Linked DNA regions of Xenopus tropicalis. The protein of the gene in region 1 interacts with the protein of each later gene in a biochemical or structural test. Links are inferred from orthologs where the notes say so. Each region holds a gene or a part of one and is shown on either strand. Other genes may lie near its edges. The genes, in order: asf1b and tlk2.

The links.
Region 2: of the proteins of asf1b (region 1) and tlk2, one has a biochemical effect on the other in vitro, tested with the Homo sapiens proteins (3 studies listed by BioGRID). The link is inferred for Xenopus tropicalis from reciprocal best matches to the Homo sapiens genes ASF1B and TLK2.

The regions. Positions count from the first base shown.
Region 1 is NC_030679.2:134,219,760-134,235,222, reverse strand, and holds asf1b (histone chaperone asf1b), read left to right. Parts: upstream 1-5,132; 5' UTR 5,133-5,181; intron 5,182-8,089; 5' UTR 8,090-8,134; coding exon 8,135-8,243; intron 8,244-10,851; coding exon 10,852-10,967; intron 10,968-11,161; coding exon 11,162-11,338; intron 11,339-12,005; coding exon 12,006-12,206; 3' UTR 12,207-13,366; downstream 13,367-15,463. UniProt on the Homo sapiens protein: Histone chaperone that facilitates histone deposition and histone exchange and removal during nucleosome assembly and disassembly. Cooperates with chromatin assembly factor 1 (CAF-1) to promote replication-dependent chromatin assembly.
Region 2 is NC_030686.2:15,288,929-15,304,469, reverse strand, and holds the start of tlk2 (serine/threonine-protein kinase tousled-like 2), read left to right. Parts: upstream 1-8,051; 5' UTR 8,052-8,231; intron 8,232-15,541. UniProt on the Homo sapiens protein: Serine/threonine-protein kinase involved in the process of chromatin assembly and probably also DNA replication, transcription, repair, and chromosome segregation. Phosphorylates the chromatin assembly factors ASF1A and ASF1B.

The DNA.
Region 1 (15,463 bases):
AACTGCTGTGAAATATTTATTTCTGTTCAGAACTATAGAAAGCGGGGAGAGACTAACCCAGATCAGGAGTTAGAGATCAAATTACTAGCTGACCAAGCGCAAGAAGATAGCTATACAGCAAGGGTCCCCAATCTTTGTTACTCAGGAGCCACAGTCAAATGTAAAAAGACTTGGGAAGCAACACAAGCACCATAAAAGTTCACGGAGGAGCCAAATAAGGGCTAAGATTGGCTATTAGGGGCCTCTATGCACACTATCAGCTTACAGGGGCTTTATTTGGTAGTAAATCTTGTTTTTATTCAACCAAAACTTGCCCCCAAGTCAGGAATTCAAAAATAACTCCTTGGTTTGGGGGCACTGAGAGCAACATCCAGGGGGGTTGGGGAGCAACATGTTGCCCCTGAGTCACTGGTTGGGGATCATTGCTATACACTATTTCCCAACCCCACTTTACTCAGTTGTTGGCAGACTACAAACCCTGTATACCTGAATGCAGTGATCCCCAACCAGTGGCTCAGGGGCAACATGTTCACCAACCCCTTTGGATGTTGCTCCCTGTAGCCTCAAAGTAGTTGCTTATTTTTGAATTTCTGGTTAGGAGACAAGTTTTGGTTGCATAAAACCCAGTGAAATTGCCACACAGAACCTTCTGTAGGCTTAAGGTCAACATAGGGGCTACCAAATAGCCAATTATAGCTCTCATTAGCACCCCTAGGAACATTTTTCATGCTTGTGTTGTTCTCCAAAACTTTGCTCCATTTGAATATGGTTCATGGGTATAAAAGGTTTGGGATCTCTGCTGTAATGTATTATTAAGGGTTGAAGCATTCTGAACGCTGTAGTCGGGCAACTTCAGCTCTGTATTGTTTCATGAACTCTTCCCCTTCCCCAGCTCTCCAGAACCAGCAACGCCATTATATATGTGAATTAACCCTCCCGCCAGCGTCTTACATCTCTAGCTCCCTGTGCTTTCTCTCTCAGCTTGGGGTAAGAAGTATTACACACGGCCTTTCCCAGCACCAATTGATCATGTTTTTAAATGACGTTGTTTAAGAAAGATATCAAGCATTGTGGCTGATCCTTTACATCCTCTCTATAATCTTTTTGCTTTATTGTCATCTGTAAAACGATATTGCAGCATTTGGCTTGAAATTGTATGATTGCACAGTAATATATGTACTTTATTATAATAACACACAAGGCTGAAAACTGAATTGGAAACAGAATTAAAATAACATGATTATATGCTATGGTGACACACTGGAAAATTGGAATTGTATTGATTTGCACATTACATTGCTGTTTGTATGCACAGTATTCACTTTGTGTTGTGTATTGTCCTTCTGAGGCTTGAAATGCAACAATTTTGTCCCACTGTGTAAGTTTCTTATATGGTTTCTTATACGGTTGAGATAACGGTTGACAATAAAAAGATCTGAATCATGTTTTGGCTTCTCGCATTTGATTACATTCTGATGCCCAAATTGCTCAAGCTCTGCCGGTTGAACAGGGACAGTTGGCGAACCAACAATTTCAAGTTTTGTCCTAAATTCTTAACTGGATTGATGCCTGGGTTTAAATGAGCCAATCTCAGACATTCACCGTAGCTTTGGCTCTGTGTTTGGGGTCTCTCTATCCCAGTCTCAGGTTACACACAGAAAAGCATTGAGACAACATGAAGCTACCACCACAATGCCAAACCTTGGGGCTGCTGTTTGGAGGGTGTTGGCTTTCTGGCACTCACAGCATTTTGGGCTCAGGCTAAAGGGTTGTTCTCATGAAAGCAAAGAACATTGTCCCACATTTTCTGTCTCCCCCACACAGGGCCGCCATCAGGGGGGCACAGCTGCAATTTTCCCTTTAAAAGGGGGCCTGGCTGTGTTACAGCTTTCTTAGTAGCTCAGGCCCCCTTTAATCAATTCTGGACCCTGACATGGGTGGTCAGCGGGTAATCCAATTGGTCGTGCCCCGTGGGTATGTGTGATGTCAGTACAAACGGGGAGCAACCTTATAAAAGGGTCTGTCTTCTTTTGCGTGCAGTCAGAAGTGCAGAGGCATTGCCCGGGAAGGCCGGAGGCGCAGAAGACAATGCTGGAGGGGCCTGTGATATCTGATGGTGACCCTGCTCCCACATGATTTTGGGCAAACTCTAACAGGCCTTGATATATTTTTTCCACATGGTGTTCTACTCATCAAAACATTATAGAGAATCCAGGTTATGGATGTACCATGGATGGTTCTATCAAGCAGAGTTGCCTTTAGACTCTTGGGTTACATCTAGGTCACCAAATATCTGTGGTTTTCTAATATTCCTTCCATTGTTATAATAATTTGATCAGTCTTTTTTTTGTTTAAAGTTTAGGATTTTTTTTTCTGCTCCTCCAGACTTGTTGTCATCCTTGGCCATCATGACGTTTGTTTTTATATATATATATTTTAACAAAGTGTTAAAAAACAATATGCAATATTATGGGATGCCAGACTTTAAACATGGGTATACTTTTCAGCCAATTAAGTAGCTGCTAAAGGCAATTGGATGCAGATTATTCTTTAGGTGTTTCATAGCAAGGGAGTAAATAATTATTAAGACTGGCTAGGATATGGGACAAGAACCCATAGGTTTGCAGCCATCCTCCTTAACCATTAGGCCAGGAGAGCAGCTGGGGAGTTCTTGTATCTCTGATTTAATCTCATCCATATTTATTCTCAAGTTTTCATCATGCTGTTCCATCACAACCCAGCAGCTTTATTGGTCAGAGCCGACTTATTTGAACCCTTCTTTGACCTCACTTTCTTGCCTGAGCATCGACCTCTGACAGCTTGTCCCTAGTTCTTGTTCCCCTTGCTCTTGCCTGTTTCGGTCTTTTAACCCTTTCCATCCTGCTTCTGCCTATCCTGACTTGTCAAATAGCTAGTCCTTGCCTTAAGGGTTCACTGCCCATCACATCCAAAGATATATAAATAAAGCCCTGAGGTTGTACTAGAATTTTACCTTTTCTCTATACCATGTTTCTTCTCCCATTATTAACACACCCCTTCCTAGTCTTTTACCTCATATCCCATTCCCTGAACATTTATCAGTCCAACTGTATCCCTTCTTGCCTTCCTTCTGTAACTTTAACCCTACTCTTACACCTCACTCCACAATCCTTTGTGTCCATCTTCCAACCTCTTTCTATCTGCCATTCTCTTCCCTACCCCACATAAGCTATTATCTGCACCTTTCCTTAACCCCTTTTGTTATTCTCTCCTGTCTTCCCTCTCTTGCTTTTCCCTTTCCATGTCATGCTCCGCAGTGTACATCCTTCCAGGGCCAGTGTCTCAAATATCCACAAGTACAGACTGGCCCATGTTATAAACAGTGCTTCAGAGAAATACCACTTTGTCCAGCTCAGGCTACAATATTCTGAGGGTGTTGGGGGCATAAAATGCCTTAGTCATAGAGGTGGTGCAGACAATAACTTTAGCTTTCCATTCAGCACTACCTAGATGTCACTGCACATCTAACTTCTCCCCTCCCTCCTCCTCACCTAACTGTGTAGCCAGTGCATGGGCATCTGGTCCCCCAGTCAGTCACATAAACAAGATTTTGGGGTGATACAAAGCTTGCCTTCATAACACGGTCCACAAAATGGCGCCTGCCTGCTTGCTTTGATTGAGAAATTCCAAGACGGAAGGAAACAAAATGTATATTATTTATATAGAGTAAGTACAGTTTATTTTGCTCAACTAACAATATAGAAAACAATTTGGACTTATTTCTTAGGGTGACAGGTCCCCTTTAATCCTTGACTAGACATAGCAGAGCCATTTCCCTCTCACACAGCATTAGAAACGATGAATTATGGCGTGAGCGCCTATAAAGGCTGAGGCGGTTACATCCGCCTCTAACAGCCATCTTGCGTTCCTTCTATCATTTTGTTGCACAGCAATTCCCAGAATTCCCTACAGAGGCTGGGGGGGGGGGGGTTAAACAAGCCTGATAGAAATATAAAACTTTATAGCGCAGCCTTTGTTTCTGTATGTATGTATATCTTTATAAAGTGCTACTTATGTACGCAGTGCTGTACAGTAGAATACATTAATACAAACAGGGGGTTATTAAGATAATAGATAAATACACAGTATAACAATAAATACAGATAAATACAAGATACAGTTGCAATAAGATAAGAGTCGAGGACACAAGAGGAAGGAGGTCCCTGCCCCGTAGAGCTTACAATCTATATGGGAGGGGTAACTTACAGACACAAATAGGCAAATGTAAGTGCTGTAGGTCACAGTGGGTGACACTTCAATATAAGTGCCAGTTCCCAGTATAAATACATATACTGCCCACACTGCTGAAGCAAGGTTGCCACCTAAGCAGTAAAAATGATGCTTGATGCCAACCTTATTAATAGGGAATATGCACACAAATAAATGAAAGCCTGTATTTTTTTTATCCAGAAAAAATGCTTAAGGTGTAAATAATGGTTTAGTGCAACAAAACAAATATATGGCAGGAAAATGTTTACCAGTAAGTACCCTACTCGGCCGCCCCTAGTCTGTTTCCGGTTCCGTTACACCCCAGCTTCACAAGTGCGTCATGGTATTTATCAGCGCCCCATTACCTACCCCACGCATTCTTACTTCCCGCGCAATACCTGCCTATCCGGAAGTTGCGTCAGCCTAAGCCGGAAGATAATGCCCGACGCGGGAACGAACGTCAAACGGCGCGGGAAGCAAACACCGTGCTCCAATCAAACGTGAGAGCTACTGACAAGCCCCGACCATGTGACCAAAGCTGGTAGAATCAGCGGCCATCTTTAATGCTGGCAACGACTTCGAACGGCTTTTAGACGTAGGAAGCGAATCCGTTTAATGTACTGGTTTGGTAAGGCAGACTCGGCTGTACGTGGGGGAGAGCCATTATACCCCTGTTTACAGGCTTGCATAGATAGGGGGTGATTATGCGTTTCACACTATCCAGAAGCGTCATTGGTTGTTGCTTGACGGTGAGAGGGAGGGGCTTGCGGCTCAGAGGGGGCGGGGCTGGGGGGCGCGTTTGGAGTGAGGTTGTAAGCGAGGCGCGGGAGACAAAACGGAGGGCGGGAAAGAAGGAGCGGGCTGTTTGTGACGGTTGTGTGGGACGGAGCGGTACAGCCGGGCATACCGGGGAAGGAGGAGACGCCACAACAGGTGAGTGCTGTTTCCTTTCTACTCCGGGCTGTCAGCCCACTCTTACTCCCCCCATGCCCACCTTGCTGGTGAACTACAAGTCTCTGTAGAATATTAACTCGGGGGCCACAGGCTGAACTAATAGTCCCTACCTGTGTGTCCATAATCCCCATTTCCCTGTACGTGTTTACTCACAGGGGCGTGGCTAATGTGTGCCTATAACTTATATAGGAATATACTTGTATAGGGAGCCCTCAGTCTTGCACTTGGCCAACATCCGAAAATAGTTTAATGCTCAACATACAAATTGTATCACTAGTTGGCATAAAGGCTTGCACTTTATTTCTGTTAAGCTTCTGTGTGTCTGTGGCTGCTGGGAGTTGTAGTTCAGCCCTGGGGGCTGCCTGATAGGGGTAACTAACTGATAGGGGTAACTAACTGATAGGGATAACTAACTGATAGGGATAACTAACTGATAGGGATAACTAACTGATAGGGATAACTAACTGATAGGGATAACTAACTGATAGGGATACTTAGTTATGGCTTTGTACAGCTCTGCAGTATGTGTTGGTGCTTATAATAACCTGTTACTATTATTATTGTGAGCCTCCTCCTGTAACCGGTTATTGGATGAAAGTCCTGTCTGAGCCCAGTGTGACACCTATATAGAAATAATTGCTACTTCGGTTAACATTGCTTTCATTGGAATGTGAGTAGCATATTTAGGGGATCCCATTGTTAGTATTGGGGCTCATGTTGGCAGTAGCCAAGTTGGGGCCCGTGGGCCAGATCTAAAGCTGGCCATAGACGCACCAATAACATCGTACGAAACCTGGTTTCGTACGAAATTCAGTGCGTTTATGGCAAGTCGGCGAGTCGACCGGTATCGCAGGAAGCTGCTGATATCTGTCGACTCGCCGACCAGCAACGTCAGAAGATTTTGATCGGGGGCCATAGAAGGCGCCTGACCAAAATCTCCCTTCGGCGCTGAATCAGCAGAAGGAGGTAGAAATCCAATTGTTTCTACCTCCTTACCTGCAGTTTCAGCGCTGAAGGTTAGTGGCGGATCTGACAATCTTTCCTGCGACCGATGGTTGCACAAAAGATCGCAGATCGCCACGTGTGTGGCCACCTTAAAGCTGGCCATACACGTGGCGATCTGACGATGTTTCGTTCAACCATCGGTCGCACGAAACATCGTCAGATCCGCCACACACTATTCAGGGCTGAATCGGCAGGTAAGGAGGTAGAAACAATAGGATTTCTACCTCCTTCTGCCGATTCAGAGCTGAAGGGAGATTTTGGTCAGGCGCCATAAAATTTTCAAACTGGTCCGGTCGGCGAGTCGGCCGATATCAGCAGCTTCCTGCGATATCGGTCGACTCGCCGACATACCATACACGCACTGAATATCATACGAAACGAGGTTTCGTACGATATTATCGGTGCGTGTATGGCCACCTTAAGGGATCTATGTGCCCCCCACGCTCCTCCCAAAGGCCCCATTGGCCCTCAGACATGTGCTATAAGAAGTAACTGTCCCACTGCCTGTAGCGAGTTGAATGTGGCTGGTCATTGGGGTCATTTCACAGTATATCGTACCCACAGGGCTTCCCTTTGTTGCTATAATATGCATACACCAGTAACTCTACCTTGTAATGGGGGGGATCTGAACATGTAATGCATGCTGTAATATGATAACAAGGCTTGAGTAGGAGACATCATAGAATTGTCTGTTAACCTGACAGAACAGTGGGAACAGCACTGCCGGCAGCGCAAACAGACGGCTATTGGGCAGCATTAAAACTTCCCGTGCCATTGCTTCCTACTAGAGAAACGCTCAGTTCAGGAGTTGGCCAAATCCAGGCACCTTTTGCAGGATTCAGCTAAATACTTGGGGGAATATTTATCATGCTGTGTAAAAAGTGAAGTGAAGCATTACCGGTGATGTTGCCCAGGGCAACCAATCAGCAATTAGATTTCAACAGTTAGAAAACCAAAGCAAAACATCTGATTGGCTGCTATGAGCAACATCACTGGTAATGTTTCACTCCACTCTTTACACAGCATGATAAATATACCCCTAGGTGTTCATTCAACCCCTTAGTTGTGTGCCTTTAAAGCTTTGGGCAGCTAAGTGTGACATGTGTTTTTAGTTTATGGAAGGTGACGTGGTTTGAATTTTTCCCATATTTTAAATTCGGTGTTCGTCTAAATGCAGAAATGATTGACTCGATGCATGGCAGGATCTCACTGTAATGTGTCTGCGACTGATTCCAAGGAGTGAAGAGGATATTGAGCGGAATAGAGAGGAGTCCCCTGTTGAGCAAACTGGGAAATCCAGCGACTGATTTGTGGGGTGCACAGCCGAGCTTATTTCTAATTGACTTTCAGATATCAGGATGAATGGGGGGGAATAGAGGCTAAGGAAAGGGTTTGTGCAGTGTAAGGGTGAAGACACACAGAGCTACTAGTTGCAGCAACTTGTCGTGGCTACTAAAATAGACAATGCTGATCATTTACTGATAGTCTGTGTGTTAGCAGAGGCAATTCTCAGTATTGTCTATGTCAGGGGATTTTCTGGAGTTTAGTTGCCATTAAAAATAGCTGCTACTAGTAGCTCAGTGTGTCTTCACCCTTACACACACATAGGCTTCTTGTATTTCTGTTAGAGAAGGGCAAGTACAGAGTATAATAAGTGCCAGAAATGCAATTCAGAATGCAGTTTCTCACAGAAAGACTGCCATACCTTTTCACTTAAAGATATATGCTCTTGAAATGCTTTTCTTTAGGAACTGCTGATTTTCAAACTTATTTCCTATTTGTTTCTAGTAACCTATTTAACCCTTGCAAAAAAATTAATGACCAGATTTTATAGGTCTCTCTCTTCCTGTTTGATTGTAAACACGTGTTACATCTCTTTTAGCCCTAGTGACATAACATCGCTGGCATTTACAGCTTGGGAGGCATCATGGCAAAAGTACAGATTCTCAACATGGTCGTGCTGGATAACCCCTGCCCCTTCCACAACCCTTTCCAATTTGAAATTACTTTTGAATGCATAGAGGACCTGCCAGATGGTGAGTGACTGTTATTCTCATCAAGCATGCCTTTTTAGATGTTCCCAACATGGGAGATTTAAGATGGCCATACATGGTCCTGTTCTAGCTGCCGATATCTGTCCTTTACACTGATTTGGCAGCTTATCTGCCTGTGTATGGGCACGAACAACGGGCCTAACCGACCGACATTGGGCCTGAAATTGGCTAGATCTCGATCGGGCAGGTTTGAGTGGGTGGGTATATATTAAAGGTTGTTGTTCACCTTTAAACTAACTTTTAGTATGACATAGACATTGATATTCTGGGACAATTTGCACAGTGGTTTTTGGTTATTTAGCTGGGTTCACATGCTCTCCAGTTTAGAATTTCAGCAGCTCTCTGTTTGCTAGCAACTTGTTTACCTTAGTAACCAGGCAATGGTTAAATGAGAGACTGGAGTATAAAAAGGAAAGGGGTTCAATAGAAAGCTAAGGAATAAAAAGTAACAAATATATAAGATCAGTTGTGAGCCCTCAGAGCAATAGTTGGCTGCCCCAAGTTCATTGAACCCCATTTGAAAGCTTTTAAGATGTAGAATAGAAAAGCAAAGAATACAAAAGCTATACAAAATAAATGATGATGATGATGAACTGCAAAGTTGCTAGGAATAGGACATTCTGTAACATATTAAAAGTTAAAGTAAAGGTGAACCACCCCTTTATGGGGATTGTAAAAATAATATAATACAATTTTGCCTCATAAAAAAAAAAATATACATCTAAGCAACTTTTTAATAGTTGTAAAAGTAATAGCTATTGAAGGCAGTACCTTGTTCTGACTATTGAAACTCTTGTAAAAGCCAACACCTTCTGCAAAGTGATGTGCAGGCTGGCTCGGACCCACAGGTTCTGGCCGACATTGGCACAGCAGAAGTGGGTTGCAGACGGGTTCAGGGCGAGCTCTTAGACTGCCTTGAGCACGCGCCTGCTCTGACCCCTCTGTGATGTCGGAGATTGGAAAGGCGTGGATCTATAAATATATATGGATCTGTGGATTGGGAGCAGATGTGTTAGGGTTGATGCGAGGGGGGTAGGAGCTGCCTTGAGGTGGGGGGCCCTGGTGGGCCCCTGACACCCCAGTCTGACATTGGTTGAGAATATCAAGAGACACTTGCTGCTTCAATAGCAATTACATTTACAAGTAAGTTGAAAACCGCTGAAAATCTGTCAGATACATTTTGACATGATAGGAGAGTTTGTCACTTGCACCCCCCCTGGCTCTCCAGCGATAGAGTTTGAGGCTCCCTCGGCACCCTCCACTCGACCACCCCTCAACTCAAGGAAAGAAATGAGCGCTGGCAAATAGCAGGACAAGCCCTTGCAAATGTTATTGCGGAAGTGCAACTTTTCAAGGCAAATTGGGTTGAGAAAGGCATTCTTTGTCCTGAAACGTTGCACTTCTACAATAACATTTGCAAGGGCTTGTCCCTTTCCTTGTACAGCTAAATATTAAAACATTGCTCTAAAGCAGGGTTCCCCAACCTTTTTTACCTGTGAGCCACATTCAAATGTAAAAAGAGTTGGAGAGCAACACAAGCATGAAACATCTTCCTGGGGTTACAAATAGGGGCTCTGATTGGCTATTTGGTAGGCCCTGTGTGGACTGGCAGCCTACATGAGGCTCTGTTTGGCAGTACATATGGTATTTATGCAACCAAAACTTGGCCAAAAGCCAGGAATTCAAAAATAAACATCTGCTTTGAGGCCACTGGGAGCAACATCCAAGGGACTGGAGAGCAACATGTTGCTCACGAGCTACTGGTTGGGGATCACTGCTCTCTAAAGGTTTCGACCTAACTGAATCCTGCAAAAATGGCTGTGGTTTTGGTTGACACCTTGAATTCAGTGCATCCCTGTTATGCATTTATATATTTTTGACAATTGTGGTGTCAGAGCTCAAATGGCCAGTATTGAGCCCAGCAGTGAAAATGAGCACAATGAATGAATGAATGAATTACATTTTTATTTCATGTGAAAAACCAATGCTCCTACATAATTAGATGCCATTGTAGTCAGAAAAAAGCTCCCATGTATGTGTGCATGTATAATAATGCAGTACTGGGGCAAGCAGTCAGATAGGGCTCCTAAAGATCAGTTCTCACAGTGCAGTTTGTGGTGGGCAATGTTAAGGTTTCAAGAACATCCCCAGTTTTAATGGTTACACTCTGGGCAGCTTGGTCACTGCAGATGTCACATACAGTATATGATGGTATGCGTGCTGTTTCAGCTTAGGCTATTCTAATTATCAATTACTTTGATGGTTTTTCCAGCTATTGCTTTTAGATAAAAAAAAAAATACATTGCATGTCTTCAATTATTGATAAACTGAAAATATGTTTACGGTTTTTGTCTTTATGCCTAAAATATGCATTTACCCCTTCACTGCTGCTCCTCTACTTTGTAGTTGGTACAAGTGGGTGTTCAGTGAGAAGTCTGGCAGATTCTCCCCCCCCCCCCCCCCCCCCATATGCTCCTTGGTTTTAAACCAGACAAGCAAAACTTTATTGAATGCATTAATCGGGTTATATGGGTGGTTATTCGCCAGCAGTATTGTCACATTTATTGTATGCTATGCACTGTCTCATTAGATCTGGAATGGAAGATCATCTATGTGGGATCTGCTGAGAGTGAAGAATATGATCAGGTGCTGGATTCTGTCTTGGTGGGACCTGTCCCCGCCGGCCGCCACATGTTCGTCTTTCAAGTGAGTGTCAAAGAGCTGACATTCCATTTGTCTCCTATCTTGCTTATTTACAGAGTCTTGCATTAGATCAGATTGACGTGAAGTCTTATTAATACATCTTAATTGACTTACCATGGACTGATATGGAGGATTTTTTTCTTTGTTTTATATTTTTAGATTGAGCACCTATAGTAAATTTCTCTCTTCCTATGCAGGCAGATGCTCCCAATTCCAGCCTTATCCCCGAGTCCGACGCTGTAGGAGTGACTGTAGTGTTGATTACTTGCACGTACCGTGGTCAGGAGTTTATCAGAGTTGGATATTATGTAAACAATGAGTATTCTGATCCAGAGCTACGGGAGAACCCACCTCTCAAACCACATTTCGGCCAGGTATTTACATAACTTGTGTGTCTGTGTATGTAAGGCTTTTTGATTAGTATTGTCAAGATCGGTAACCCAGAACAAGGGTCCCGGTCATAGCTCACACTTCTGCCTATAACGCCCACCTTTGGCTTCGGGTTGAGCCCTCCACTACTCGGGTGCCGCCAGGTCTTAAGGTGAGAGGGAGCTTACAAGAATCCAAATCAGGCAGGCCGGGTCAAAACCTGAATGGTAGCGCAGTACACAATCTGGATCCAGAAGCAGAGTCAAACAGGGAGAATTAACTCAGTCAGGATACAGGCCGGGGTCAGAACAAGACAGGACAAAATGCGTACCCAGGAACTATGGTAGGTAGACTTATAACAGGCATGGGAGAAACTAGGAGGTAGGAATTCAAAGCCTAGATAATTACAGATTCAAAACAGGTGTTGGTAAATAAAGGGAGCACCTGTAGCCATCATTCCTGCCTGGATAACTAAGACTATTATTGAAGTGAACCAGGAACCCAGCAGCCAGGGGGGCTGGGACTGATACCACCAATTGGGAGGTCCCTGGGAAAAGTTAGGCCCACAAACTGCTTGTGGCATCTTGCAGGTTTTGGTGTTGGCCTGCTTGCCACTCTGGTTTAGATGACCATTTGTCCAATTTTTTTTTTTTTTTTTTGATCTATCTACAGCTTCAGAGAAACATCCTGGCATCAAACCCACGCGTCACACGCTTTCACATCAACTGGGAATGCGCGAGCGAGGCAAAGATGGAAGACATTGAAAACGTGGACCCTGCCTCTAATGCAATGTTGCCTCCTAACTGTGCCCCGTCTAAGGGTCTTGCAGCTGCACTTAACCCAATCCCAGAGAATTCCATGGACTGTATGTGATAGCAGTAACAGAGGGGCAATATGGGCTGCAGCAAGGGAAACTGCCACAAACTCTCTACCACAACAGTCTCGGCTTCCTGTGAGCACTCTACAATCACTGCCAACTTAACACTTCTGTCGCTCCAGAGTGTCTAGCTTGCCGGTAGTTCCACTCACCAATTAGTAGGATTTTTTTTTTTTTTTACACAAAAGCAGTCTTCCTCTCGTAACGAGACAGATCTTCCCGCCTTTCGCTCAGCAGTATATTATTTCAACTGAAAACTTCCAACCTTTTAATGTTTCAGTGTTTTATATTTCCAAAGCTACCAAGGCCCATCCATTTAAACATTTTGTTACACTTCATTCTTTCACACTGCTATCTTTGTCTCCTTTTTTTCTTTTCTTTGAGCCTGTAAAAGTAAGGCTCTGAGCTGAATGTAGTGGCCCTGGAGTCCCTAACAGCATCAGTTTATAGCTTCCGTGGGTACCTTTTGCCCGTCGCATTATTGCCACCTCCTCTACTGAGGCATGTCGGTACATTCAGCGAGGAAGAGACTTCATTTCCTGCAATTAAATCTCTCTGCTGCCTGGTGCTAATTAATCATGCTGTCACTGACCTTAGATAAACATCGGCTTTGTGAGCCATTGCTGGTAACTTGTTTGAAGCCGGTTTGTCTTTGGGAAATGCAAGATAAGGCATAGAATTTAGCCTAATTGCAAAAATGGTCTTGCATGAACTGGCACATTTTCTTGCACCCAACATGCTAGGAATCTTTATCTACCGGACAGGTACATAAATGAGCAGGATTGCTCTAGTGTTCTCCAGGAAATTGCAAGCATGGCTGTGGACCCCGCAGCCACTGCAACAGACTGTTTTTGTTTTGGTTTCTTTTGTTTTTTTTCCTCTAAATATTACGGACTGTGGCTTTCCAGCCGAAATAAATTACTATCTCAAGGTCTTGAGATATTTGGGGATCCCCAGCCCCACAAATAAGGGGGAGGAGGCAATAGATATGAGTCCTCCCCAAACTCCAGGAGCCTCTCTTGTTTTGTATTTTTGTTCAGCTGCCTTAGCTGGATGTAAATGGTTGATGGCCATTAATTTCCTATGTGTTTTTTTAAAAAATTATTATATATATATGTGAGTAGGAATTTGCTTAAATAAAAGCACTTAGAGCAAACAACTGTGAACTTGAATTCTGATGGTAACTTTATTGCCCACATTATATGTATTACTGAGCAGGGCGCAGTAGTAAACCACCTGGAAGACTGACCGCATAAAGGTGGTTTTAAGGTCCCCATACACAGGCCGATTGTAGCTGCCGATATCTGTCCCTTGGACCGATTCAGCAGCTTATCGGCCCATGTATGGGGCAGGAACGAGGGCCCTGCCCGACCGATATCTGGCCTGAAATTGGCCAGATATTGATCGGACAGGTTAAAAGATTTAGATTTGCCCGTTGCACAGGGCCAAACGATCGAATTAGCCTACATTTTCCCCGATATCGCCCACCCGTATGTGGGGATATCGGGAGAAGACCGCTCGCTTGGTGACCTCGCCAAGCGAGCAGGTCTTAGTGTGTATGGCCACCTTTACACAAGGGTGTAGCAACCATATGGGAAGCCATTTATTGTTGTTGGTGTGGCCTCTGCCAAAGCAGTTGACCTGTAATGAATTCACATTCTTATAAGTATATAGAGCCAATTTTTTTGGGAGTGCTTGAGAGTAAATTTGCAGAGCATTGTCCACTTGTACTTACTAGAGCTGTGATCCCCAACTAGTGACTCATGAGTAACATGTTGCTCACCACCCACTTTGATGTTGCTTGGCGGCAAAAATTGGGAGCACAGAGACCGTTTTACTCCAAACAAAGCTTCCTGCAGGCCACACGGGGCTTATTTGGCATCCCCAAAGAGCTCTCTCTATACTTGTGTGGCTCCTGAGTAAAAGGTAGGGGATCCCTGAACTAGAGGATCATATTGGAGACCCATGTGACCATGAACCTGCATCTGAATCCAGATCTTCTCCAGAAGGGATTTTACATTCTGTTTAATCAGCGTACAACCCCAAAATGATTTATGAAGCTTGAAGGGGACAGTGTTGTGCCGACAGGCTGCAATTATCAACCAGTAATGAGCAGCTAATATCTAGAAAACATAGGCATCAAATGAGGGCTCATAGCTGGCACAAGTTTGAAAGTAGGGATGCATCAAATCCAGGATTCGGCCGAATCCATGGTCCTGGACGAATCTGGATCCTAAAAATCACATGACTTTTTGGCACATAAACACAGTAGTTGAAAAGTTTTCGCCAGCAACATTTATGCCTTTCAAACCCTAACTAGCATACGCTAATTACGATTTGGATTCTGTTCACTATTCGGCTGAATCCTTTGCAAAGGATTTGGGGGTTCGGCCAAATCCAAACTTTTTTAGATTCGACGCATCCCTAGGTGAAAGCAGGTTGGGAGTTGTAGTCCAACAACTTCTGGCGACCCAAGATTATTTGTTGAGGATCTTAAAGGAATAGTAACAACAAAAAATTAAAGTGTATCAAACTAATATTATATGTACTGTTGCCTTGCACTGGTAAAAGTTGTGTATTTACTTTAAAAACCCTACAATAGTTTATATAAATATGCCCGGGGGCAGCAGTTCAAACTGAAAAAAGGTAAAAGGGCCCAGATTACATAGCAGATAACATAAGCTGCATAGAGTCCCATTGTATTGTATAGAGCAGTGCTGTCCAACTTCTGCGGTGCCGAGGGCTGGAATTTCTCTAGCATACATGGTGGAGGGCCGCTAATGGAAGCCAGTTTTGACCACTCCCACTTCAAACCACACCCATTGGGCTACACAGCGGGGTATTTATATAAACTATAGTAGGGTTTCTGTAGCAAACACCCCAGCTGTACCAGTGCAGGAATGGCTGCCCCCGGGGCTACACAGCGGGGTATTTATATAAACTATAGTAGGGTTTCTGTAGCAAACACCCCAGCTGTACCAGTGCAGGAATGGCTGCCCCCGGGGCTACACAGCGGGGTATTTATATAAACTATAGTAGGGTTTCTGTAGCAAACACCCCAGCTGTACTAGTGCAGGAATGGCTGCACCCGGGGCTACACAGCAGGGTATTTATATAAACTATAGTAGGGTTTCTGTAGCAAACACCCCAGCTGTACCAGTGCAGGAATGGCTGCCCCCGGGGCTACACAGCAGGGTATATATATAAACTATAGTAGGGTTTCTGTAGCAAACACCCCAGCTGTACCAGTGCA
Region 2 (15,541 bases), on another chromosome or scaffold:
TACGAGAGGACAAAACAGACTGTAAATATGGAGAGCGAGGGATTGTGCAGCTTTGTGTTAAGCAGGCTGACATCCTATACAGACAGACAGTATGCGCAAAGTCTTTTAAATTATTCCTTGTCTTTTAATCTATCTCTGGGTCCCACCAAGGAAATGCAGGGCATTGCCAGGCCTCTTGGGTACACGTTTATGTGCTCATGTCTGAGCTTGCACTTTTTCGCAGACCCACTTTTTCACTTTGGACAAATGCTTGCTTTTAAAAGAATAAAGTTTTTAATAAAGACTTTGTGATATTTATGATCAGTATCCTGAATGCTTGATTTCAGTTAATACATTTTTAATGCCCTTTGAGATAAAGGAAGTGGTCATCCATGGATGGCACTGCTTTGTAAATGTCTAAGGAGAATACCTAGAAAAATAATATGCAGGGATGTATTTAAGCCCACTGCTGCTAGGCAATGGACCTCAATTCACGATCGACACGTAAAGGAGAAGGAAAGGTAAAAAACTAAGTAAGCTTTATCAGAAAGGTCTATGTAAATACAGCCATAAGGACTCACGGTAATGCTGCATTGAGTCCTCTATCAAAAGAAACATAGGATTTCTTGTGTTATTTTTTGTGAATATGTTCTTCGGTATCAGACTTCCTCTCTTTTAGGGCTCCTTCAGGTGTCTGTCCATGAGTCTGCTCAGTTCTCTCCTCTCTCTCCCCCTCCCCTCTCCTGCTTCCCCCTCCCATAAGAATGCATAAGAACTCCCTTCCCCCTCCCTTAGGAATGTGTGATCTGAGCTTCCAACAGCTATAACTGCAGCAGGAAACTACCAAGAGCAAGCTAAAATGGCAGCAGCTATCGGAGGGAGCTTCTAGGGCTCTTTACTCAGGTATAGTAAAGCTTTCTGCTGAATAAATATAGCGTTCTAGGTGGCACTAAAAACTAAAAAACTACCACAAGATATTTGTAAAAGCAGGAGAACTTATATCTATTAACACAGGAACTAAAGGAAAAGCCTATAGTCAGTGAAGTAGCTATGATGCAGTTGAGGGCACTTTTAAAAAAAAAAAGGGTGGTTTGTTCAACTTTAATCATAATTTCCATTAAGCTTTAAAATAGCTTATACAGTATAAAAATACTTCCATAATTATACAATAGTCATTGAACTCATATGGGTAATGGTAAACGTACAAAACATCTGCCTGCTTACATTCTCTACATGACTCCTGAAATAGTGTAGCAAAAACTGCCAATTAACAGACCTGAGGATGAACTGACTACTACTTTGTTTCAAGAGTCAGAACCAAAGACAAGAGATATGGAAAAGACAAGGGATATGGAAACTCTGCTTTTAATATAAATACATACTTTAAAGCTATTGAAATGTGTAATAAATCAATATATTTTGAAACAGAATTTTCTTTCGTTATACCAACTTGAGAGCCCTGTTAGGTAGAATTTCCCTTTAAATGAAAAAGAATAATCTATAAAATGTAATAAAGTTCAGTTAAATCACATGAGGAAAATAAATAAATATATATAATATATATATATAGCGCGTAGGGTCTGAAATCTATATTTAGAAGTGACTAATGCTCATACTGACTAGTTGGCTTGCTGAATCAAGATACAGTGATTGGGATAGGTTGCTAACCTATTTATAATATAGCGGGCAAAATAAGTCACACATTCTTTGCACTTCCCTGAAATAAACCAGCTTCTAGGCTGCTCTTGGCCAGTTTATTCCGTCTGTTGAACCTGATTTCTTGTTACCCCTGGAATAAAATAAAAACAAAATCAGTTACCCAAACATTACAGACAAGGAAAGGGTAGATACAAATTTAAGGGATGAAAATACCACGTAGATCAATATATAGACAGTGTGTGTGTGTATATATATATATATATATATATATATATATATATATATATATACACTGCTCAAAAATTAAAGGGAACACTTAAACAACACAATGTAACTCCAAGGTACACTTCTGTGAAATCAAACTGTCCACTTAGGTAGCAACACTGATTGACAATCAATTTCACATGCTGTTGTGCAAATGGAATAGACAACAGGTGGAAATTATAGGCAATTAGCAAGACATCCCCAATAAAGGAGTGGTTGTGCAGTTGGTAACCACAGACCACTTCTCAGTTCCAATGCTTTCTGGCTGATGTTTTGGTCAATCTGAATGCTGGCGGTGCTTTCACTCTAGTGGTAGCATGAGATGGAGTCTACAACCCACACAAATGGCTCAGGTAGTGCAGCTCATCCAGGATGGCACATCAATGCGAGCTGTGGCAAGAAGGTTTGCTGTGTCTGTCAGCGTAGTGTCCAGAGCATGGAGGTGCTACCAGGAGACAGGCCAGTACATCAGGAGATGTGGAGGAGGCCGTAGGAGGGCAACAACCCAGCAGCAGGACCACTACCTCTGCCTTTGTGCAAGGAGGAACAGGAGGAGCAGTGCTAGAGCCCTGCAAAATGACCTCCAGCGGGCTACAAATGTGCATGTGTCTGCTCAAACGGTCAGAAACAGACTCCATGAGGGTGGTATGAGGGCCCAACGTCCACAGGTGGGGGTTGTGCTTACAGCCCAACACCATGCAGGATGTTTGGCATTTGCCAGAGAACACCAAGATTGGCAAATTCGCCACTGGCGCCCTGTGCTCTTCACAGATGAAAGCAGGTTCACACTGAGCACGTGACAGACGTGACAGAGTCTGGAGACGCTGGGGAGAATGTTCTGCTGCCTGCAACATCCTCCAGCATGACTGGTTTGGCAGTGGGTCAGTAATGGTGTGGGGTGGCACTTATTTGGGGGGCAGCACAGCCCTTCATGTGCCCGCCAGAGGTAGCCTGACTGCCATTAGGTACTGAGATGAGATTCTCAGACCCCTTGTGAGACCATATGCTGGTTGGCCCTGGGTTCCCCCTAATGAAAGACAATGCTGGAGTGGCTGGAGTGTATCAGCAGTTCTTGCAAGACGAAGGCATTGATGCTATGGACTGGCCCGTCCGTTCCCCAGACCTGGATCCAATTGAGCACATCTGGGACATCATGTCTCGCCAAAATATTTCAGCCAGCACAAGTAAAGTGCAAGCAGGGCTTAGCCCTTGCGTGTTTATTCAAAATGCAATACCTGACGAAGGGGTACGCCCCCGAAACATTGCATTTTGAATAAACACGCAAGGGCTAAGCCCTGCTTGCACTTTACTTGTTGTGCTGGCTGAAATATTTTGACCGGACTGTGTGAAGAGTGCCGACTCTCTAGGCTGTGCACCAAGTAGTAATTCTCTGGAGGAGGTAAGGGTGTGCTGGTGTAAATATTTTTCCTACATCATGTCTCGCTCCATCCACCAACGCCACGTTGCACCACAGACTGTCTAGGAGTTGGTGGATGCTTTAGTCCAGGTCTGGGAAGAGATCCCTCAGGAGACTATCCGCTACCTCATCAGGAGAATGCCCAGGCGTTGTAGGGAGGCCATACAGGCACGTGGGGGCCACACACACTACTGAGCCTGTAGTGTTTTTTTCCACTTTCATTTTGAGTGTGACTCCAAATCCAGACCTCTGTGGGTTGGTTAATTTGATTTCCATTGATACATTTTGTGTGATTTTGTTGTCAGCACATTCAACTATGTAAAGAACAAAGTATTTAATAAGAATATTTCATTCATTCAGATCTAGAATGTCTTATTTTTGTTTTCCTTTTATTTTTTTGATATATATAATAGTGGTATAGTACAGCAGCACAATGCATTAACCCTTTAAGTACCAGCAGAATTTCACATGTTATGCTCAGTGCCAGAACATTTTATGCTCTCTCATTTTAGGGTCATTTAATTGGAGGGGTAGTTTAGGAAAGGGAAACTATATATTGTTTTCTTCGAAATCTGCGTTTTTATATACACAGTCTGTGTATTTCGACTTCTGGAATAAGATTTAGAGCTCTAATCAAAAATTGGTACTTATGTATTTCTGCTACATACTGAACAGTTTAATGCCCATTGTGCATATGATTACCAAAGCATCTGGCATTTAGAGACCCATACCTATACCTATATATACAAATTGCCTTGGAGATCATTTCAGCTACTGACAACTCAACACATGATGCCATTTGTTGCGGGGTAGGAAACCAAAAAAATACATTGACCCCCCCCCCCCAAAAAAAAAAATCATATATTTTTGGAAAGTACACATTTGGATGAATTCAAAATGGGCTCTCATGTATTTCTACTCCAAACTACAGTTGCAATGCTTTCCCAAAATTGGCAATAAAAGCACCCTAAATATATAAGCCAAGGATCCAGTGAACAGTTTGATGCCCATTGTGCATAGGGTCACCAAGGTATCTAGCAATTAGAGACCTCAAAGTGAGGTTTGTGCACACATATTTCATGGCATATATTTCTAATACCAAAAAATACACCACCTAATTTATGTGTTGTAAAAGTGGGAAATAATTAAGTTGACCCCAGACATCATATATACAAATATGCCTTTGTAGAACAAAGCACCAAACAGCAAAGTTAAGTTAAATGAGGCAATTTTTAATTAATTTCTGAAAATTGTCTCAAAGCTTGCAATTTACTTCATTCTGTACCCCATATTTCATAACGTACCAACACAAAACATTCTAAATATGAATGCCTACTGAACAGCTTGATGCCCAGTGCATAGATTTATCAAACTATAGAGGCACCCAAATGAAAACAGTGCATTTGAATTTTTACGCCTGACACTGGCTGCTGCAGTATAAGCACCCAGTATGTGTAAGTCCACATTCTAATTAAAAAGAATGGGTAAACACATCTTTCTACTGCAAACTATTACTGTCTACAAAGCTATGCTAAACATGTTTTTTATGAATTTTCTGTAACTTCATGTGTCTTACTTCCAGTTCCACTTTCCAGTGCACAGATAACCCCCTGCATAAGGCTCCTGCTTATATGCACACTTCTATTGCAAAAGATATATAAGACATATCATACCTCCCAACATTTGAAAAATGAAAAGAGGGACAAAAAGACTTGGCGCGCGCAGTGCGCCAAATTTCCTGACCACGCCCACTTTGTGTGGCCACGCCCCAATTGCCACTCCCCATTTTTAAAAAAAATACTCCTTTTATATAGATGAAATGGCGGGATCAGATGCAAATGTGCTATACCCTCATACTGTACTACCTAAGGAAAACAATATAGCAACTCCTACATATAAAATACAAATATAGAGAGAAGGCAGTCAGTTATAAGTGAGTTATAACTATGTACCAGTTTTGCCCCCCCATACACAGTGCCCCCATACACAGTAGCCCCCCATACACAGTACCCCCCCATACACAGTGTCCCCCCATACACAGTGTCCCCCTATACACAGTAGCCCCCTATACACAGGTGCCCCCCCATACAGAGTAGCCCCCCCACAGTGTCCCCCATACACAGTAGCCCCCCCATACACAGTAGCCCCCCCCACACAGTGTCCCCATACACAGTAGCCCCCCATACACAGTAGCCCCCCCCACACAGTGTCCCCCATACACATTAGCCCCCATACACAGGTGCCCCCCCATACACAGGTGCCCCCCCATACAGAGTAGCCCCCCCACAGTGTCCCCCATACACAGGTGCCCCCATACACAGGTGCCCCCCATACAGTGCCTCCATACAGTGCCTCCATACATGCTGCAGCTTCTTCTTCAGCGTTCCCTCTCTATATGTGGCTCCTTGTTCGGCGGAGCCAGGTCCTTTTATAAGGTTGCGCCCGTACATGCGTGCGTGCAGTGTCATACGCACGGGCGCAACCTTATAAAAGGATCTGGCTCCACAGAACAAGGAGCCACATATAGAGAGGAGCCACTGGGGAACGCATACCTCCCAACATTCGGCAATTTTTTTGACCACGCCCCCTTGTGTGGCCACGCCCCAATTACCACACCCTTTAAAAAAAAACAAAAAACTCCTTTTATATAGTTGAAATGGCGGGATCAGACGCAAATGTGCTATACCCTCATACTGTACTACCTAAGTTATACGTGAGTTATAACTATGTACCAGTTTTGCCCCCCCCATACACAGGTGCCCCCCCCACACATTAGCCCCGCCATACACAGGTGCCCCCCATACAGAGTAGCCCCCCCCATTCACAGGTGCCCCCCCATACACAGGTGCCCCCCATACAGAGTATCCCCCCCATACAGAGTATCCCCCCCCATACAGAGTATCCCCCCCCATACACAGGTGCCCCCCCATACAGAGTATCCCCCCCATACACAGGTGCCCCCCCATACACAGGTGCCCCCCATACAGAGTATCCCCCCCATACACAGGTGCCCCCATACAGAGTAGCCCCCCCATACACAGGTGCCCCCATACAGAGTAGCCCCCCCATACACAGGTGCCCCCATACAGAGCCTCCATACATGCTGCTGGCTGCACGTTAGTCCTCCTCTTCAGCGTCTCCTCTATATGCGGCTCCTTGTTCGGCGGAGCCAGGCCTTTTATAAGGTTGCGCCCGTGCGTGCGTGTGACGTCAATACGCACGGGCGCAACCTTATAAAAGGCCTGGCTCCGCCGAAGGAGCCGCATATAGAGGAGACGCTGAAGAGGAGGACTAACGTGCAGCCAGCGCGTCCCGCTGTCGGGATAGTTCCATGAATGTCCCGCATTACGGAAATGCGGGACATTTATGGAACTATCCGGGACAGCGGGACGCGCTGCCAAAACCGGTACTGTCCCGCAGAAAGCGGGACAGTTGGGCGGTATGGGAACGCCTGACTACAGCCAACGCGTCCCGCTGTCGGGATAGTTACATGAATGTCCCGCATTACGGAAATGGAACTATCCGGGACAGCGGGACGTGCTACCAAAACCGGGACTGTCCCGCGGAAAGCCAATCAGATGCTTTGCTTTAGCTGTTGAAATCTAATTGCTGATTCGTTGCCCTGGGCAACATCACCGGTTATGCTTCACTCCACTTTTTACATAGCATGATAACTATACCCCTGAATGTATTTATATAAATATATTGTATATTTAAAAAAAAATATATATAATATAATATATATATACAGCATATATGGAAAATTATATGTCACAAGACACATATCCATATACACAAGTATTTAGCACATCCTTTGTTGTGTTTACAGGAACGGGTTTTATTAATTAGTATAAGATGCACAAGCAAGTTTAGACTGTCTACACGTGTCTGCAAGTGAGGTTTTCAAGCAGCACTTGTCTGCTTGCTTCTGATTGGCCCAATTTCTGCAAAAGTAAGGCAATGACAGTGGGCCATTCTGCTGGCCACACCCACAGTACCCAATCAGCACCATTCCCTGCCTGCAGACCCGCCCTTCCTGAGTGGGTGGGGCCGGCAACTCACACGTGCTGTATCTCGGCCACTCATTACTCTCTTCTTCCTATATTTTGAGTTCTCGCGAAACGAGGCTTCGCAGCGTCCCGCCCCTGTCTCTCCTGGGTCCAATCGCAAACCGGTTTCCTAGCTTTACTTTTAGGGTGGGGCGTAATGTTCTTATCACGTGATCCCTGTTGGCCAATGGTATAGTGCGTTTCATAACTCCCTGCGAGGCGGGAAAGTTTGCGCGGTCCCGCCCCTTTACACCCCTTGCGCGCCACCTGCTTGGGTAGACTTGGCGCGGTTCTTTTTTTACCTCTCGTGAACGCGCAATTGCCCTCGCCCCCCCCCTTTCTTTCACTGAATCTCGCGAGAAAACCAGCGGTTTCACTATCGTGTTTACACTAATTAAACCCATTACCCCCGATAATCCGAACCGAGCCGATCCGGGTTAAGTCGGGCGGGTGGTTCCGGAGCGGGCCTGGGCCCGTAAGAGCAGAAAATTCTCTAACGTCTCCCGCCCTCCCACAGTTTGACTTATATTCCCAACATTTCGGTGGTTTTTGAGGTAAAAAAATCAAAATAATCGATCCCCTCACTTAAAAAAATATTATAATCCCCATCACCCCCCTGGGAAGGGGGGAACAACCACTGGGGGGCGCCTTCCCCCTCCCGCCCCATCTATGACAGGCGAGCCGGCGCCAGGAGGGTGGGGCGCGGGGTTCCGCGCTTAGGAAAGCTCGGGGATTTGCGGCCTAGTGGTGTGAAGCTTGGGAGCCGAGCAGCGAGAGGAAGGAGCGCCATCACCATCCCCCCCGAGGGGACGAGGCACGAAAGTCTCCCCAAGACCCGGGGGCCGATCCACTGAGGGAGAGAGGTAATATCATCTCGGGGAAAGAGGGAGGGCCGCGGGCATCCTATACACACCCAGGGCCTACACCCGAGCATCCTGCAGCCCCTTCTAACTCCCAGCATCCTCTTCTAACTCCCAGCATCCCCTTTATAACTCCCAGCATCCCCTTTATAACTCCCAGCATCCCCTTTATAACTCCCAGCATCCCCTTTATAACTCCCAGCATCCCCCTTATAACTCCCAGCATCCCCTTTATAACTCCCAGCATCCCCTTTATAACTCCCAGCATCCCCTTTATAACTCCCAGCATCCCTTTATAACTCCCAGCATCCCCCTTATAACTCCCAGCATTCCCTTTATAACTCCCAGCATCCCCTTATAACTCCCAGCATCCCCTTTATAACTCCCAGCATCCCCTTATAACTCCCAGCATCCCCTTTATAACTCCCAGCATCCCTTTATAACTCCCAGCATCCCCTTTATAACTCCCAGCATCCCCTTTATAACTCCCAGCATCCCTTTATAACTCCCAGCATCCCCTTCTAACTCCCAGCATCCCTTTATAACTCCCAGCATCCCTTTATAACTCCCAGCATCCCCTTCTAACTCCCAGCATCCCTTTATAACTCCCAGCATCCCTTTATAACTCCCAGCATCCCTTTTATAACTCCCAGCATCCCTTTTATAACTCCCAGCATCCCTTTTATAACTCCCAGCATCCCTTTATAACTCCCAGCATCCCTTTTATAACTCCCAGCATCCCTTTTATAACTCCCAGCATCCCCTTTATAACTCCCAGCATCCCCTTTATAACTCCCAGCATCCCCTTTATAACTCCCAGCATCCCCCTTATAACTCCCAGCATCCCCTTTCCTTTGCGTTCAGGGTATTTGCTCTGCCCCCCAACATCAGAGGGGTTCCTTGACAGTACCTATAGGTAAAAGTACCCTAGGCGTGATACCTAAAAGTTAGTGACTGTTAGTGACTGTTTCTAGTATGAGAAATAGGGATTTTCAGGCTGCAGCCCACTAGTTATTGCTGAACTGCAACTTTCCACTTTGGACTGCTGTAAGTTTTGCATCTTAGACACTTCCTATCTATAAAACTACCCTCCCCAACCCAGGAGTCAGTCCCTGCCCCAGTGGAGCTTACAATCCAAGGTCCCTATCACATTCCCATCAGTCCCTGCCCCAGTGGAGCTTACAATCCAAGGTCCCTATCACATTCCTATGTATGTATGTATGTATATCTTTATTTATAAAGCGCTACTTATGTACGCAGCGCTGTACAGTAGAATTCATTAATACAGACAGGGGGGTTAAAGATAATGGATAAATACAAAGTACAACAATAAATACAAATAAATACAAGGTACAGTTGCAATAAGAGTCAGAAACACAAGATGAAGGAGGTCCCTGCCCCGTAGAGCTTACAATCTATATGGGAGGGTAACTAACAGACACAAATAGGCAAATATAAGTGCTATAGGTCACAGTGGGTGACATTACAGTATAAGTGCCAGTTTATCAGTCCCTGCCCCAGTGAGCTTACAATCTAAGGTCCCTATCACATTCCTATCAGTCCCTGCCCCAGTGGAGCTTACAATCCAAGGTCCCTATCACATTCCCATCAGTCCCTGCCCCAGTGAGCTTACAATCTAAGGTCCCTATCACATTCCCATCAGTCCCTGCCCCAGTGGAGCTTACAATCTAAGGTCCCTATCACATTCCCATTAGTCCCTGGCCCATTGGAACTTACAATCCAAGGTCCCTATCACATTCCCATTAGTCCCTGGCCTATTGGAGCTTACAATCCAGGGTCCCTATCAAATTCCCATCAATTCCTGCCCCAGTAAGATTACATGCATATATGGGTACGGTCAGTTTTATCAGGAGACCATTTAAGCTGCCTGTCGGTGTTTGGAGTGTGGGAGAGGAAACCCACATAGACAAAGGAAGCTAGTGCCTTGGCTCTTGAATTAAATGTAGGACCCCAGCACTGCAAGGTAGTCATGGTAGCCGCTGTGCTGTCTATTCATCACTACAGAGCATATTTAATGTTCATCCCAAACTTTGTTAATGTAAAGCAGGGGTGTCCAGACTTTGTCACTCTCTGATCTACTCTTGCCACCTAGCCTCCGTCAATAGATCTACCATAGTTAAAATAGTGTGTCTATCATTTTGCGTAATAAGAAAAAGTATCAATCGATGTTTAACAAATACACATAGCAATATAGAAATGCAGTCCCAAATTTACATTTAATGCCCACATAACATTATTCAAGTGCCAACTTCAATGTGAAAGGATTGTAGTAATTTTTACTTCCCTTCTTCATTGCCACTTTGTAGTCTGCACTCAGAAACATACAGTATATAAAGTAGGAACAAATATATACAGTGGCCCAGTGGGGACAATCTTCTATATTGGGATGAAACTACAAAGACAGATGGCTTGAGCAGCCACACTCAAGGCAACTTCCGCGATTTCGGAAATTTGCGGCGCCGCATATGCCATCCCACCGGCGATTTACATTCAAGCCAGTGGGATGGTATATAGGGGAGATTTGTCGAGGACGACTAATCCCCCGTCTATAGCTGGCCATACACGTGGCGATCTGACGATGTTTCGTGCGACCATCGGTAGAATTATAATTGTTTCTACCTCCATATCTGACTATTCAGCCCTGAATGTCAGTGGAGGGTGGGAACAATCTTTTGGGTGACTCGTTATTGCTACGTGTATGGCCACCTTTAGTGTGATGAATCATCCAGTTGTTCGTATAGCCTGTACCATTGCTTGCCATTGTCAGGTTCTTTTGTGGTCAGTTTGATTCCTGTTGTCAACACCACTCTGTTATCTGTGTAGCTTAGCTTATAAAATATAAAGGATGAGGCCACATAATATTGTTTGGACATAGAATTCCTTCACTGTATATATAGGTATAGGATCTATCATCCAAAATACGATATTGTCTGGTTGAAGCTAGGAAAACTGTGAGTAGCTGCCAGTTTGGCCTTGCAAACAGTTGGACAATGGATAAATGTAATTGTTGATGAAGAAAATTTTCAAACCTGCTCGATTGTTTTTCAGATAAAAAATCACTAGATGGTCTATTGTTCGGTGCCCACCAACCTTATGATTATTTGACAGATTTGTTGGATTGCACTAAAATTGGCCATTAGAGAAAGATAAATCTTAACGTGTATAGCCACCGTTAGTCTGCAAAAATAATAAACAGTAAATAAAGCCAATAGGACTGTTTTACCACATATATGGATTCATGCAACTTCAAGTACAGTTTTATTATTACTAAGAAAAAGGGAGTCTTTTTCAAATTTTAAAATTATTTGCTTATAATGGATAATTCGGCACTCTCTGGATCATGGGTTTCTGGATAATTGACCCCATACCTGTATACAGTTTGTCTGTGAGTGAGCATATATAAAGAATGATGCTGCAGCACTCATTCACCTTTTTCACCTTTGCAAATGGAAGTGCCACAGCATCATTCTTTATATATGTTCTGTTACCCCTGGAAAGGGTTTTAGCTGCTTGAGCACCCATCCAACAAGTATAAGCTAAGGTGGTTGTTGCTCTCTTGATGACTGTCTGTGAATGAGCATGGCTGGCTCATAGTATTTTTTTTTAAACTGCAGTCTATTGATAGTTGCTAAATAGTGAAGATGATTTTTCAGAATGTCACTACTGAGGTTAAAGCTGTGGCACTTGAGGTGGCATTACTCTGGGTAATTGAAAGCTCCCTTATGTAATTTACAAGGTTGATTTTTTAGTGTTTTACAGACTATTTTGGGATGTTTTCCAGTGTGACTAGTTATAGATTGGCACTCATAAGTTAACCATATGTTTGGTTTTAAGAGTTATTTCACCATCTTTTTGTACAGCATTTCACCAATTAAAGCAGGTCCAGATACAATCATTGTAACATATACAAAAGGACTGCATACTATTCATATCTGGAAGGCTTTATAGACTGTAAGAATGCATCCATAGACCTTTTGACCAATGTATTGATTTTTTTTACCACACATTGACATAAACTTATAGCTCAGATCTACTAACATATCATAGAAAATCAGTGGATGTTGGCTATTTTTTCTTTTCGCCAATAGTTTTTTTTCAAGATGTCACCTGACTGCATGGAATGCTGGGATTCAATTTAATTAGAGATGCACCGAATCCAATTTTTCGGCTTTGGCCGAACCCCCGAATCGACCGTAAGGGATTCTGCAGAATACCGAACTGAATCCGAATTTGGAAGTGTTACATGTAAGCGGATTTGATTTGGCCGAATACCAAACCGAATCCTGGATTCGGTGCATCCCTAGATTAAATTACTGCTAATATTTGAGAATCATTTTTCCTCATAAATTTGATTGAAATTAACACATTTGGGATTTTTAAAATACAGCCAGATTCTAGATTAGTTTATTAATCAGCACAGTGGAGATTACTCAAGATTATGCCAGATAATTAAACTGAACCACACAATATTTGAGTGCCCTTTGTTTTCCATTGGATGTGCAGTTAGATTCCATATCCTCATGTGCATAAGGCTTTTAAATCAGAGAGGGTGGCAAAGGTATGCAGTGAAGGAGAGAGCCCTACCATAAAGGCCAAAACACTAAATTCATGTGCTTGCTTTTAGAAACTTGTGCAATCTTTTGAGGTGGGGTGGCATGTAATTTTTATTCTTGTGGGCCCATAAACAAAATATATTGTGAACGCATGTTGCCAGCTAATTTGGCATGGAACTGGCTGGCAGATGAGTGGTTGAAACACTTATTTTGTCATGTTGCTTTGATGTACCCCAGAAAGTACATTTCTTAGTTTATTCAAAACTGCACTTACAGTAAGAAATGTACTTTCTGGGGTACATCAAAGGAACTGAGGTTTTGCCATGACAGGGGCAATATACACCTGAGAACACTTTGCTATGTAACTATGAAAGTTAGTGTAAAAAATAAAACGTTTGCAAAAAATGTATATTGCCTATTCTTTTAACTAAAAAAAAAAAAAATTTTTGCAATTATAAATGCTAATGGAAATCTTTTTGTTTTTCATACTCTCGCCCTTTCCCACTGCAAGCTGGGTAATTTGTTCAAAGGGAGATAATGAGTGCTGTATAAACAGACCCTAAGCTTGTGGCCTTTATTAGCCTTTGACCTATAAGGAGCAGCTCATTATACAGAGACCTGCGTACTGCTAATTAGAGGGATGAACATTAGTAACTGCATATAAATCTGTTCGCCGCCCTAAATAAGCCACAGATCAACCTCCGCATTGGAGGTTTGATCACCCTATTCATTATTACATCAAAAGTGCTTGTTATGAGAGATGTAAACCCAAAAATAAAACTTTTGCCAAATAATAGAAAATGACGATTAAAATACAATTTGAATTGAAAGTGCTGCTAGGTTAAACAATGTAGCAAAAGTCAGCTTTGCATGCTTCTTCCTGGATCTTTTAATTAGCTTGTTTGTCCTACATTGTTTAAAAAGTCAAAACCACCAGGGCAGAAAAGGATACATTGTACTTCAAGTATATTGAAAAGTTGCTTAGAATTGAATTTTCTTTTGCCAACATTTTATTTTTGGATTTACATCCACTTTAATCACCTATATATTATCATCTTTCATACAGCCCTTCTAGCCATTCATGTAGAGTATAAGGAGCCGCTCTGGTCTGGGGCCACGCTCCTGCCTTTTGGCATTTAGCCTGCTTCCATTTTAATGTTCTTGTTTACTTCTTTAAATCACTACCTGCACCGTGTGAAACCTCATACATACGAGCATGGATATTTAATTTATATTAGTGCAGCACAACTGAGCAAGTGGACTTGTGTGGAAGGACAGATATTACAGAGAGGAAGAAAAGTAGCCAGGATCCAGGGCTGGCTATAAGTTTCCCTCACTTCTCTTTGGTAGCAGCTGTTAGGCAGAGGTAAAATGGAGTCTGCTCCTGGAGAGAGACAGCAAAACAATATAGTCACAGCTCAGGGTAGTGAAGGGGGGGGGGGGAGAGAAAGAACTTATTCACATATTCCCTAATAGGAATGCGAGGAGGAAAGCAGTGCATGTGAAATAAATGAAATGTGTGCATTTTCACATGTGGTTTCCGCTGTCAAAAAAAGAGGCTTTGTCCACATTGATTTACAGTTAAAGGTGGGGGGAGGTGCTAATCATGGAGGGCTCTTGCCATAGTCACACTGAGGGTTGAGCCCTTTTTTATTATTCTGTGTGATATAGATGTGAGGCTTTGTGCCAGTGTGGCAGCATGCAGTCTGATAGAGACGGCATAAGGTAGTCCCCTCTCCCTCAATCCTCCAATTCCGTTACAGGATTCAATTTAGTCTGTGTAGTAAGTGCCAATTTTGTAACAAAGGCCAAATACATTGTCTTAAACCATTTTGTACATTTTTAGTTTTTTTTTAGTTTTTTTTTTTTTTACAGTTTTTTAATAAAGGTGTCAATTGTAAAAGGAATTTTCTTGGGGGCCTTGCTGTGCTTAATTATTTTATCTACCAGACATTGTGAGCAAAAATGTAGAGTCATGCAGCTTAGTTGGGATCAAGGTCAAGGTGTTATTTTACTTTTATAGAAAAAGTAAGTCATTTTGAAAAATTAGAATTTGCTTAAAATGGACTCTGTGTGAAATGGCCTTCTAGTGATTTGAAGCTTTTTGGATGACTGATTTCTGAATAAGGCATTCCATACCTGTATTTTATAATAGAAAATGTAGTTCCTTGCCTCATGCCCCATTAATGTTGATAAAGCAATTTTCTTTTCCTAACTTGAGCTAAATCCTTGTTTCCATCTAGTTCAGGGTTGTATAATTTCTGCTCTTGTGCTTTGTTTCTGCTTTATATTTCACTTATTTGACCTCTGTTGTTATTATGCCCACTTGCTGCAGTACTAAGCATGCTGTAACGTAATAGTGTATTAGGCATTCATTTTCTAACTATAACTTTGTAGTGAAATAAAAGCAGATTATAAGTAAGGGGCTGGGAATTTATTTCCTCAATCAATTTTGTACATCTGAATGTATATCTGAATTCCTGCTAAATTGGTAAATCTGAGGGTTAACAATTTACTACTATGTTTAATAAATTAATTTGAAAGTGTCTTCAGTTTTTAAACAGAAATTCAGAGTGGCCCCCCACATAGGTCCCAGGTTACTATCAGGTTGCTGGCTGATGGTGGTCCTGTCAGCTGAGTCAAATTTTCCCAGCTGCTAAGGCCACTGGCACATGGGTGTTTTGACTAAAACAGTCATTAATACCCTGTTACTGAAAAACAGCACTTTGTGGGTGCCAG